3 linked regions of the Coturnix japonica genome follow. The protein of the gene in region 2 interacts with the protein of the main gene of each other region in a pairwise test. Links are inferred from orthologs where the notes say so. Each region holds a gene or a part of one and is shown on either strand. Other genes may lie near its edges. The genes, in order: ABHD17A, HPGDS and MELTF.

Region 1 (4,110 bases), on a different chromosome or scaffold from region 2:
GGGGCCGTTCGCCCGATGGGGATTTTAAGTAATAATTCTGACAGCAGATCTTTCCTTTTTTTTTTCCCCTCTCCTGAGTCTGGCAACACACCAGACCTTGGGAGAGAGAGAAGCGAATTGTGGGAGTGACAAGGCACAAGAAATTTCCACCATAAGGGGAAAAACAACGTTCATCATCCAAATTAACACGAAGAACAGGCGCGTGGGAGCTCAGCTGGGGGAGGCAGTGCAGCCCACTCCTCCCCCAGCCCCTCACTATGGGGGGAGACGCCTCTGATTCAGCTCCTTGTGTGGTGATGGACCACCCCAAAGTGGGGATGGAGTGACTCCCCGGCAGGAAGGCAGCAGCAGGATGGAGATGGGACCTTCCTGGGCCTGTGTGTCATCCACCACTTCCGCAGGCAGATGGGGAGCGGGGCCAGCAGCGGATGTGCAGGCAGAGCAATCCCGTGGCTGTTTCCTCTCCCTGGAGATGCACAGCAGGACAGGATGGGAGCAGACAGCCCTGCCAGCAGCCTGCATGTCCCAGGTACACCTGGCACATTGCGTGGGGCCAGGCAGAGCACGCAGGCTTTGCAAAGCCCAAACTTAGCTCTGCCCCACTCACATCTGGGCCTCATGGAGGCAGCAGGGACAGCGCTGTCACAGTGAGAACAATCTATGCACCAAATTGAACTCTTCCTCCCTTACAGACCTATGGGGTGGTCTGTGACAAGCTGGACCCTGATCCCTTCTGCCTTCTGATCCTATTGTTCTTCTAAACATGCCCACTAAGTGAGAGAGCCACACCAACACAGCTTGCCCCAGGGCTGGGGGCTGCAGACCATCCCCGTGGTCTCTGTAGGGTCAGAGGTTTGTTTGGGCTCTACAGAAGCTTTGCAACCAGAGCACGACATCATCAGTGTGACATCAGAAGGGCACGTCGAGGACAGCCTCAGCCAGGAGGGGACACTGAGGTCCCTGTAGCCTGCAGCTGCACCCCGACTCCCTCCTTCAACCTGTTCAGTCCCATTCCCGATTGCAACCACAAGCCAAACAGGTTCCTAGAGCTGAGCTCACCCACCCCGCAGCACGGCGCCGGGTCGGGCCGGGCAGGGAGGTGGCATCCAGCAGGAGCCCCAGGCCCAGCACTCACCTGGCTCCTGGCACGCAGCGGACGTACATGCAACCGATGCGGTTCCCTCGGCTGCTCTTAGTGACAAACACCTCAATGTTGTCCAGCTCCCGTTGGGAATACTGGAAATCAGCCCGATCCTTCAAATGAAGCTTCCACCGCCCCGCAGCGCCGCCTCGGAGGGACCCGGTGCTGGTGCTGCCGATGGGCTCCGGCTCAGGGACCACGGCGTAGGTGGGCTCCGGGGGCAGGAAGGCCAGCTTGGCAGCGATGCGGCTGGGGCATGGCGGGCAGCAGAACAGCCAGCACAGCTGGCTGATGGACAGCCCGTTCATGATGGAAGCCGTGCTGGGAGCAAGGCAGGATCCAAAGCAATGCTGGGACGCCCCTTCCTTACCACGGCAGCCAGATGTGTGGGGCAGCCTGCAGTCCCTCAAGGGTCGGGGCGGCCGCCATCCGTGTGCCTGCAGGCAGCCTGCAAGGAGCAGGAGGACACAGATCACATCAACAAGCCGAGGGTTACACCGTGCCAATGCTTTGGACACCCCCACGTTCCTGTTGAGCCCCCCCTGCATCAAACCCATCCTCCAACACCTCCCAAGCAACCCAGCCCACGCACAGGACCCTGCAGAGCACAGTGAGGTGAGCACAGCGGGATTGGGAGCACAAACAGCTGCACATACAGCTCTGCCCCTCATCCCCCCCCCCAAATACACACACACACACACATGATGCTGGCGAGGGCCCCAAAGCACGCGTGTGCAGCTGGAGCACAGAGCTCCTAATGTAAGAAAAGGGGGGGAAAGGGGAAGGGAGGGGAAAAGAGAAAAAAAAAAGCGACTATTTTCTGCAAGTTTGGGCACAGGCTCCAGGCTGAGGAATGTCAGAGCAGCCCACACCCCGCGGGGCTCAACACAGCTGCCTCCAAAGGGCTGGGAATGAGGAGGATGGGGGGCACACAAGGGGATGCAGCCCCGACCCCTGCCCACCCCCCTCATGCTGGGGGTCTCCCTGTGCTCACAGCTGCGGGGCCACGCGTGTGTGTGACATGGGCAGGCGTGTGTCCACGCAGCAGAGGCAGGCGATGAACACACGGCTGTGCTTGCACACGCCTGTATGGTGCCCTCACCTGTGTCACCGCATGGCCAAGGGGGGGGGATGGGGATATAGGGGATATAAGAGGGGATATAGGGGATATAAGGGGGGATATAGGGGATATAAGGGGGGATATAGGGGATATAGGTGGGGGTGTTGGGTGCAGTGCCTGCTGGGTGTACACACTGACAGCCACCCTCACCCTACAGAGGGTCGCACAGACATCACAGTGGGGGGTGGGGGTACATCCCCCCCTCCTTCAGGCCCAGTCCCCGCTCCCTATTGCCCCTCTACAGCCCTATACGAGCCTCAGGCTGAGCCAGACCTATGGGGCAGGGGGGCACCGGGACCCCCATAGCACACAGAGCCCCCCCAGCCCCACACCATGCACAGACGGGCCCCCCCTCCACCCCACATCCCCCCACTTCAGCGCACACAGCGGACCCCCCGACCCCCCCCATCTCCCTCAGACCCCCCCATCCCCACACCCCCCTATACCTGCACATCCCGGGGTCTCTCGCCGCCCCCCCCTCCCTGCTGGTTGCTGTTACGGGACTCCCGGTCGCTGCGGGCCGCCGAGGCGGGGGCGGCGCTGGAGCTGCATGGCGGCCCCCCCCCAAACTCCGCCCACCGCCGGCGCGCCGGGAAGTGACGGAAGTGACAACAGCATTGCGTAGCATTGCATTGCATTGAGCTGCATTGCATTGCATTGCACTGCATTGCATTGCACTGCACTGAGCGCTCCCCCCCCGCAGTGCTGGCACCTTCCCAGCGCTGCATGGTTGCCTTCCTGCAGCGTGGAGCTCAGGCTGCCAATCAATGGGGAAGGTTCTCTCCCTATAACTCCTGCATAGCTCCACATTTCCACCGTGGGGTTCCTCTGCATTGCAATCTTTGATGCAATGGGGCTTCAGCATAATGCAGCAATGCCAACCCTCCTTCCACCCCATTGCTTCAGTTCCCTTCCCCAGAGCCTCAATGTTTGCTCTCATGTCCCCCAAAGCCCCCCATATATCCTCCCTTCCCCAGGTGAATAGCCTCCATTCACACTTTGCTCCCCCCACCAATGGCCCCCCTTGTGCTTCTCCTCCCACCCCACAGCACTATTTGCTTCCAGGCCCTGACCTGTGTCACTGCAAGCCACAAAATAACTTTACTGTGCCATACTCTGCAGCTTAACGATGCAGTTGCTTCAACAACAGCTTCTCAAAGGGTGGGGGAAAAAAGGGGGGTGTGGGGGTTGGGAGCTTTCAAACTACAGAATCCTCTTTGCTGCATCTGAGACCAAACAGCTGTTGGGGAGCAGGGCTGGGATCGCTGCTGGGACCCCTCAGCTCTGCAGCCATTGTGGGAAGGAGGGGAGTGGGGTGGAGGGAGGGGAGTCTGGAGGCAGCTCGGAGCTCCAGCCGTGAGTCCCAGGCAGTCTGCAGGACCTGGAGCCGTGGGACGAAGGGGTGGGTTGGATGGGGAGCAGGAATGCTGTGGTCTCAGTGCTGCAGCGGGTGAGGCAGAATCGGGCCCGTGTCCTCGTGAAAGCTGGACTGAAATGGATCTGCTGAGCCCTGAAGGGTTGAAGGGAGAGGAGGAACACCATGCTTCTGTCAAGGAGGTGCAAGGAGTATCCCGGTCTGGGTGCTGGTTTGCGTGTGCTGCTGGATCCCCATATCCACTGACGGGGCTGGGAGGAGGGGGGAAGGCTGGGAGGACGGGGAGGAGCACCAGGCTGCCAGGCTGGAGTTCGAGCTGCTCGGCCCCGTTCACAGCTTCTGGATCTTCTCAGCTATAACGACGGGGTTCTCCTTCCGGATCTTCTCAGCAGCTTCTGCCTTGTAGTCGTAGGGGCAGGCGTGCATGTCTGAGTATCGGTGAATGGCACAGAACAGATTCCCACAGCGACAGTC
Region 2 (4,215 bases):
CAGATAGTCAAAATAAAACAATGCTGCAGACATCAACTGGTGGACGTCTCCAGAACTGCCCACCAGATCTTCTTTACCCTCTTGCTCTGCTCTGGAGTGGTGGCACACTTTGCTCTGTCAGACCCAGTGCTCTTATTTTCTGATTGCAGTGGTGTCTTTCCAGTTAATTTGATGTTAATTTCACAGCAGAATGAGCCAGAGGAGACAAAGGGTTAAGGTGCTCCTTGGACTTCGCTGGTCTTGTCCAACAGACTGGTAATGAGAAGTGTGGACCTATAGCTCTGAGCAATACTTGGTCTAACGGCTGGGGATCACCTACATCTGGTGGTAAATGTCCAGTTTCTACTGACTTATGCTCACCAACTGCTTGACATGTAAAGCCTCAACCTATCTGTTGCTACACTTGAGAGTAATGCACTTACTGAGCAGTAATTTTCAGCCATTTTAGTTTTTTATAATGGAAGCCACAGGCACTGGGACAGTGCTAATGATTGTGGGTTCCTTGGTCTGTGCCCAGGTCTTGGTACAAAATACTTATCTGAAGCAAGCAGCTAGAGACTTGTGTTCTTTTTGGCTGGCAAGTTATTGTACCACAGCAAGTTTGTAAAGCACTCCTACTTTTTGTACATCCTTATGTGTTATCATAGAAAGGTTTGGGATGGAAGGGACCTCAAGGATCATCAAGTTCTAACCTCCTACCATGGATAAAGATGCCAACTGCTAGACCAGGCACTAGGCTGTGCCGCCCTGGGCCCCATTCAGCCTGGCTTTGAATACTTCCAAGGATGTTACATCCACAGCTTGTCTGGGCAACCTGCACCAGTACCTCAGGAGTTTCTCTGTGGAAAAACTTCTCCCTGACATCTAATTGATGTATCCCCTCCTTCAGCTTAAAACAATTTCCCCTTGTCCTGTTCTGATCTATCCATGTAAAATGTTGATTTTTCTCCTGTTTATAATCTCCCTCTAAACACTGAAAGGAGACTTGCTTCTACTCAAGCTCGGCTCAGCACAAGACTATATGGAGTATCCTGACGTTAATTATCTGGGAGCAGGAGTAGGCAGAGGTAGACCATGAAGGTCCACTCTTCCACCTCCACAAATACCACCTGGTACAAAATAGGCAGGTGGTATCACAGGATTCCTCTGTCATTTGTTACCCAGATCCAAAGCATAGAAACATCTGTCTGTTATTAGCTGAATGCCCTTGTTTTTTCTCCTATTTAATTTCAGGCTCTTACTTTTAAAGAGTCATTCCAGCACTATTTTCCAGTCTCTTCTAAGGAGGGGCAACACTAAGTATTTAACTTTCTCAGTTCATTGCTATAGTTTATTTTATGGGAGTGCTAGTAGTTGGACTCCAGATACGTGAAGTTGTTTACACTGTGTATGAGCTGTGTGGGTATGGCAGATTCTATTTATTTTCCTCCTGGATTAACTAGTAACAGGGTGAATACGTTTGATTATTTGAAGTTTGCAGCCTGCATGATAAGCCTCCATATATTCATGTGCATATCTTTCAGCAGCATGGCATGCCAATTGTTAATCAGCAAGTGGCACACCAACCTAACCAGCAATGGCTGCTAGTGTAATAAATTGCTAGTGTGATTTTGCTCAAAAGTGATCCATATTTTCAACAATTTCTGCTTTCTAGCAGCTGAGCAGGAGGCTGTGCATGAGAAACAGCTACTAGAAATCTTGAGCAAACCCTGAGATTACAGGCTATCTCCATCAGTGGTGTAGGTGTTCACTACTTTGAGGACAACACATTTGTATCTGCACAAAACTGGAATTCAAGAAGTCATCTTGTCTAATGGATGGCTTTCAGCAGAGAAAATATGCCCAGGACAATTATGCACACAGACAAATGAAGGCAGCAAGATTTTAAAGACAAAAATCCTGGACAGATACTTAGAGAATCCTTTTGAAGTAGAAGATAAAAACTGTGTTTTCGAATGGAGAAAAATACATTAAGTAGAAACAGTTACAGAAGGATTTCTTCCATAAAATAATGGTAGGAATTAGAATGAGAGCCAGAGAACAGGTGGGAATTTGGAAAACGAATAGAACAGTGAGTAAAAATGATCTAGAGGAACTGGTTAGTGCTGCTTAATATGTATCTAATTCTCTGACATTAGCCTAGATTTGTTTTGGTTACATAAGCAAGTGCATGTGTTAGTCATTACATCTAGCAGAATATTGCTCAAAAATGCTCTCTTGCTTACTGGAAGCCCTCTGCAGAGCCTTGCATGCTTAACCCATGTTAGTTTTTTATGTATTTTTTGCCTTTTGAATGCATTGCTCTGACAGTTATCTGAAGTGAGAGCTGCTCAGTGCTGATTGCATCAGCTACTAATGAGAGATGGGGACTTGCTGCAGTCTGCAGAAGATATAACTGATCTGATAGAAGATATCTGAGAAGATATAGCTGAAGCTTGTTTGTGGCAGTGCGAACATCTATACAGGTGTCAAAAGTACAGGTGGAAGCTTAATTATGTTTGTAAGCAGCTAAAAGGGGGGTATATAGTGCAGCTGAATTGTAGAGCTCAGGGTTATCCCTCAGCATGCCAGCAAGCATCAGCCATAGAAGTTCAATAAACTTAACAAAATTATAAAAATGAGGTACTCTCAGAACTTGTCATTCAAATAGTGTGATTTTCAGACAGCAAATACTGTGCAGCTTCTTAAGCAGCAGAAGGAGATCAGGAGAAGAAAGTGGGAAGAAGAGAAACTATATTGCAGTAAGCAAAGCTGAAATAGGACTCACTTGGCTGCAGTGGTGCAGTCTCTTCGTCGGTGCACAGGAGGTGCTCTGAAGGCTGGCCCTTGTGGGAAAGGCTTACATATAGTGTTTGTTAACATGCAAACCACTCCCCCAGTGACAACTCTGCCGATCCTGACTCTTTCACACTATCTCGCAAGGCAAATGCATCATTTCCTTGGGAAAGAAGCAAGCCTGGGGACTTTTAAAAAAATAATTATTAACTATTACACTGAGACAGAAGATTGTTTTATTTACTTATTTATTTATTTAATTAAGGAGGGAGCAAGGTACACAATGTGTCTTTGATCTTTAACAGAAAGCCCTTCAGCTCTGACTGAGTTAAAGGACAAGAATTTAAGTGGCTGTTATTACGTTAAAACACAGGAGACAAATAAGAAAAACAAACAAACAAATAAAGCAAATTCAACTTCCAAGTGCTTTCATAAAGAGATTTGGGAGCTTCTTACTGTTAACAGTGAAGGGGGAGAAAGGGGATTCTAGTGAACTTTGCACATAAATAACACATGCTAGTACTCTGCACTCTGTTACTGTTCTTATCACTTGTGGAAATTAGGGGTGTTTGTTTTTTTACGTAAATAATGCTTAAATATCTGAATGATTTCATAAAAATATTAACATGACCTTTTATCCTTTGTCCCAATGGTGAGCAAGGCTGAATACTAATACTTATGAACTCTTTCATATAATCCACGATTAATTATTGTTTTTTTTTAATTTCACTGTTCTGTTTTCTGAAACAAACATTAGAGGATCATTATTTTGTACCATTACCTGTTTTAAAGCCATTCTCCATTGTCCTGTCACTAACAGATTGTGGAAGAAGTTGATCCCCTTCCTGCTGGTAAGTTCCCTTCAAGTACTGGCAAAGCTGCAATGGGTTCTCCACAGAGCCTTCACTTTTTTAAGCTAAATAAGCTCAACTCCCTCAGCCTCACTCCTATGAAGATAGGAGCGGTTCTCTGGTTTTTACAGCATTTTGCACTGGAATGAACTCACTTGAATATGAGATAATATCAAAGTCTAAACTATGAAGTACAACACTGCATTGTTCTACCAACTGCAGAGGATCAGAAAGTTGAACAAACTCAGTGACCAGTATTTTCCCTTCAAAACTGCAGAAGAGAGAAAATGGGGTAAGCTTTTGTCCTGTCAATTAATGATCAACTGTCTTCCTACCTGGTTTTCATTAGGGGTTTTAAAAACTTCGAGTCATCTCCAGTTTGTGGAGTGTCAAAGAATGTGCAAATTCATTGTAGTTGGCTTGCAATGCCAGTGCACAGACCAGAGTGTGTCTTTCTCCAAAGGGCCTGCTCTAAAGAAAAGTGACAAGGTAAAGAAGGGCAGCAGAATCCAATTTTATATATATATATACAATTTTTTATTTTTTTTTTAAAGCTTTTCAAATAAGCTGAGCAGTCATGAGAAGGAAG
Region 3 (3,646 bases), on a different chromosome or scaffold from region 2:
TGATTATCCTCGTGGATGGTTTAATTCTCTTCGTCTATTGTTTTAGATAATTCATAGCATTAAGACTTAAGGATCTTAAGAGACCGTGAAGTCACTTAATCTGACTTACGTGGATCAGAAGCCACTCAGTCCATTCATCTCTGACTAGTGCTCAAAACCTAACAGAGACAGACAGACACTGGACTGTGAAGACATTTTGTTTTGAGCACTCAGTGTCATGATGTACTTAGTGGTGGGGCTGGGCTGCTGCCCTCTGTTCCCCATTTCCTCCCATACTCTATAATGAACAGGAATATCCACTAGTGAACCAAAGACCTGGAGTTCAGGGTCTTCAAGTAAAGGATCCCAAAATAAAATAGAAACAGTAGAAATGCATCAGAAAATAAACTTGTATTAAGTAACCCAAGAGTTTTTTAGTCTGATTATACCTTGATTATAAACTTCCCCAACCACAGGTTTCAGGCCATGCTCCTTTCCAGCCTGGTAAATCCATCGACCATCCAATGTCACCGCATCTGCCAAGTAATCCTGTGCAGACACAAGGTAAGAATGCATGTTGAAGCTTAGAATTATGCTGGATTTTAAGTAGGCACAGATAGGGCCGTCCACAGCAGCAAGGAGAAAACTGCTACACATCCTCCTGCTCTACAGAACCTGTGTTATCTGTTCATTGTGTACTGAACCTGGTGCCCAGGAGACAGCATCTCCAACAAGCTGAGAGATGGCCAAGAAAACAATCAGCAGATTGACATTTTGCATTTCTAAGGTGATGCCAAGCTTCTTACCATTTTGCTTTACCTCTGGTTCAGAACCAGAAAGGGTAGTAGGCAGTATCACTTGGCATTATGCTGAGCATTGGTTAGGGTAGGGCTAGGACTAGTAGAAAGCTATTTTCCCCAGGCTGAGACACATAAAATGTGACAAGGGATCATCTGAGAGTGTTGACAATACACTCTGGAACCTATGTCAGATTTGAAGATGTCATGTAATTTGAAGCATATAACTGAATTGTCTCAAATGAGAAAAAAGTTACTGATTAGCTGAAACATTAGATGTCTTGAGAGCTGTTTCTTATGAATGAAAGTTGAACCAATTTCCAGGAGAACCTGTAGAGTAGTTCAAGCTGGGAGATGTTCGCATCTTAAAGAACAGAAGCAGTCTGGAATAACCTGATCCAATATTCCATTGGGGAGAGTCAGGGCCCAGGACAACAATTTGGGAACCAAACAGAGTCTGCTGTTTAGCAGAGATACCTGACAGCAGGAGGAATTGGGAGTCAGAAAGACCTGACCCACAGGGAAAACAAAATGAGCCTCTGGAAGTGGTGGTGAAAAGAAAGCATAGCAAATAGAATAGGATGGGTTGCCCACAGGAGACCAGGACTGTACTATGTGTATATTATTTTTCCATCAAAGACAGTAGTAGTTTTACAGGCTACAGACTTCAGCTCCTTTAAGTACATACTGCGATAGCAGCTGAAGCGGAATAGCAAGAATAGCGTGGGTATTTCTGTTTGTAGCAAAGATCTTCCCATACACCCAGCAAAAGCATGAGACAATCCCACATGTGATTTCTGACACAGATGCAATGGGAATGTAAGTTAATTATTTTCAGAAGGACTTTATTTCTGTGTGTCACAACACTCGAGAATTACCTACAGAGGTGCTTAATCACCTACTAATAAGTATGGCCAAATTAAACATTATCAGGTTCCTGAGTTTAATATTTAGACATTTCTCAATTTCTAAGGATCTTCAAAGAAAAATACTTTATCCATATGCTAACATGTTCACAGAACTAAGTCCAGGTTGGGTAGTGCTATAAAACAGCATATCTTTGTCTGCTGAGCCAGAGTTTCCCACCCCCCTTTTTGGCCTCAAAGAGCAGAGTTCAGCACAGATGCAGAGTCAGGTGTTCCATGCAGCCCTTAAGCTACATCTTAAGCACATAGTAGATTATTAGCACAGAAAGAAGAGGTGTCAAGGACCTTGCCTGAAGCCTTATAGTGAAGATCCACCTTATCAGAAAGCCACTTACTCATGCTATCCACCTGCAGGTTTCTGAGTTCAGCTAATCAAGTTTTACAACAGCAAGCACAAAGAGTTATTAACATATCCAGTCATCTTCCCCTTCCCTCACACTTTTCCAGGGAAGACAGTTGTGATCACCCACCTCCACATTTCCTTCAATTTCCACTTGTTGTTTCTCACTCCCTCCTAAGGAGGGAATTGTTTTCCAAACACCATTTTGCAAAGCTGAGCTTTTTGTCCAAACAGAGCATGCTGAATTAATACAGTTGGATTTGCATGCCTTCTGCTCACTGCTCTGACTACCCCACGTGCCCTGTTTGGTACTGGGAGATTTGGCTCGACACTCATTGGTATAGACAACAACTGCCATGGTGAGGCTCTGAAAAAGGAGAATTACGCAGTTTCCCTGCAGACAATCTACTTAAAGGCTCAGCAGCACAGCTTTAACTGCTGTCTCCATCCTACTACTCCACCCCTTCTTAAGTATCTGCTAAATAAATCTAATACAATTCCCAAATCAAAGATTAGTGCTTCAGAAAGAACGTTTAAGATCTTTGCTTGTGTTCCTAATGACTGGCCATATGTGACTAGCTGTAGAGAAGACACAGTGCCATGCTGGAATTCAGTTCCAGATGTACATTTTAATGTCTTTTAAAAAGAAATGTATATATGCTTTGATTTTCCAAAGACATGAATGCCATAAAGCTGATTGGATGAGACGTTCACTGCTCTGTACATTGCAATGTGATTTATTATTAAGCACACAGGGAAATTAAATCACTGACGTCTATCGTTTATAACTCACCTTGATCATCTGCGTGCAGTTAGCAGCTGATTCTCCCTCCACGCATTCCAAAGCGGGAAGGATGCCAGCCCCAGCAAAGGCCTTACTCATGTCCTTACACTTGGAAAGCTCTTGGTTAGACACTGTGCACCACCGCACACGTTCCAGGCTGAAAGCTGCAAACACAACAGCAAGAGGAAATGTTACTACAAAAGAGAGAACAGTTCAGCAGTGAGCTTTCACACTTCTGCTTTCATTCAGATTAACAAGAATACTAGAGTTATTTGGACTAGCAACAGGTCCAAGTCTGATACTGAAACTTGATGGAATTTATGACACAAGAAACAAGGGTACTCTGGAGCAGGTCACTGAGGACAGCTTGCTCATAAAGTCTTGAAGAATATACCATGGAGAGGATTGAGAGGGAATCTTATCACTGCTTACAAATACCTTGTGGGCAGGTGCCAAGTGGATGGGGCCAGGCTGTTTTCCATAGTGCCCAGCAACAGAACAAGGGGCAATGGGCACAAACTGGAACACAGGAAGTTTCATACGAACACAAGGAACAATATCTTTAGTTTGAGTGTTACAGAGCAGGGACAGGCTGCCTGGAGAGGTGCTGGAGTTTCCTCTGGAGATACTGAAGATCCACCTGGATGCTTTCCTGTGCAACCTGCTGTAGGGAACCTGCTTTAGCAGGGGGTTGGACCAGATGATTTTGAGAGGTCCCTTCCAACCCATGGGATTCTGTGAAATCTTTTTATTAACCATCAGATGCTGCAGGTTTCTGAATTTCTGTGCCAGCGTTCTTTTCACAGAAGGGCACAGTCCT

Evidence for each region.
Region 1: the proteins of HPGDS (region 2) and ABHD17A interact in binary tests that used the Homo sapiens proteins (3 or more experiments, as listed by UniProt). The two-hybrid records come from large-scale screens. The link is inferred for Coturnix japonica from reciprocal best matches to the Homo sapiens genes HPGDS and ABHD17A.
Region 3: the proteins of HPGDS (region 2) and MELTF interact in binary tests that used the Homo sapiens proteins (3 or more experiments, as listed by UniProt). The two-hybrid records come from large-scale screens. The link is inferred for Coturnix japonica from reciprocal best matches to the Homo sapiens genes HPGDS and MELTF.

Annotation. Positions count from the first base shown.
Region 1 is NC_029543.1:1,377,691-1,381,800, reverse strand, and holds the start of ABHD17A (alpha/beta hydrolase domain-containing protein 17A), read right to left. Parts: upstream 2,865-4,110; 5' UTR 2,708-2,864; intron 1,590-2,707; 5' UTR 1,450-1,589; coding exon 1,136-1,449; intron 1-1,135. Other genes in the region: AN1-type zinc finger protein 5-like, read right to left, coding at 3,967-4,110. UniProt on the Homo sapiens protein: Hydrolyzes fatty acids from S-acylated cysteine residues in proteins. Has depalmitoylating activity towards NRAS. Has depalmitoylating activity towards DLG4/PSD95. May have depalmitoylating activity towards MAP6.
Region 2 is NC_029519.1:32,915,343-32,919,557, forward strand, and holds the start of HPGDS (hematopoietic prostaglandin D synthase), read right to left. Parts: upstream 2,889-4,215; 5' UTR 2,768-2,888; intron 1-2,767. UniProt on the Homo sapiens protein: Bifunctional enzyme which catalyzes both the conversion of PGH2 to PGD2, a prostaglandin involved in smooth muscle contraction/relaxation and a potent inhibitor of platelet aggregation, and the conjugation of glutathione with a wide range of aryl halides and organic isothiocyanates.
Region 3 is NC_029524.1:10,702,027-10,705,672, forward strand, and holds part of MELTF (melanotransferrin), read right to left. Parts: intron 2,991-3,646; coding exon 2,836-2,990; intron 529-2,835; coding exon 429-528; intron 1-428. UniProt on the Homo sapiens protein: Involved in iron cellular uptake. Seems to be internalized and then recycled back to the cell membrane. Binds a single atom of iron per subunit. Could also bind zinc.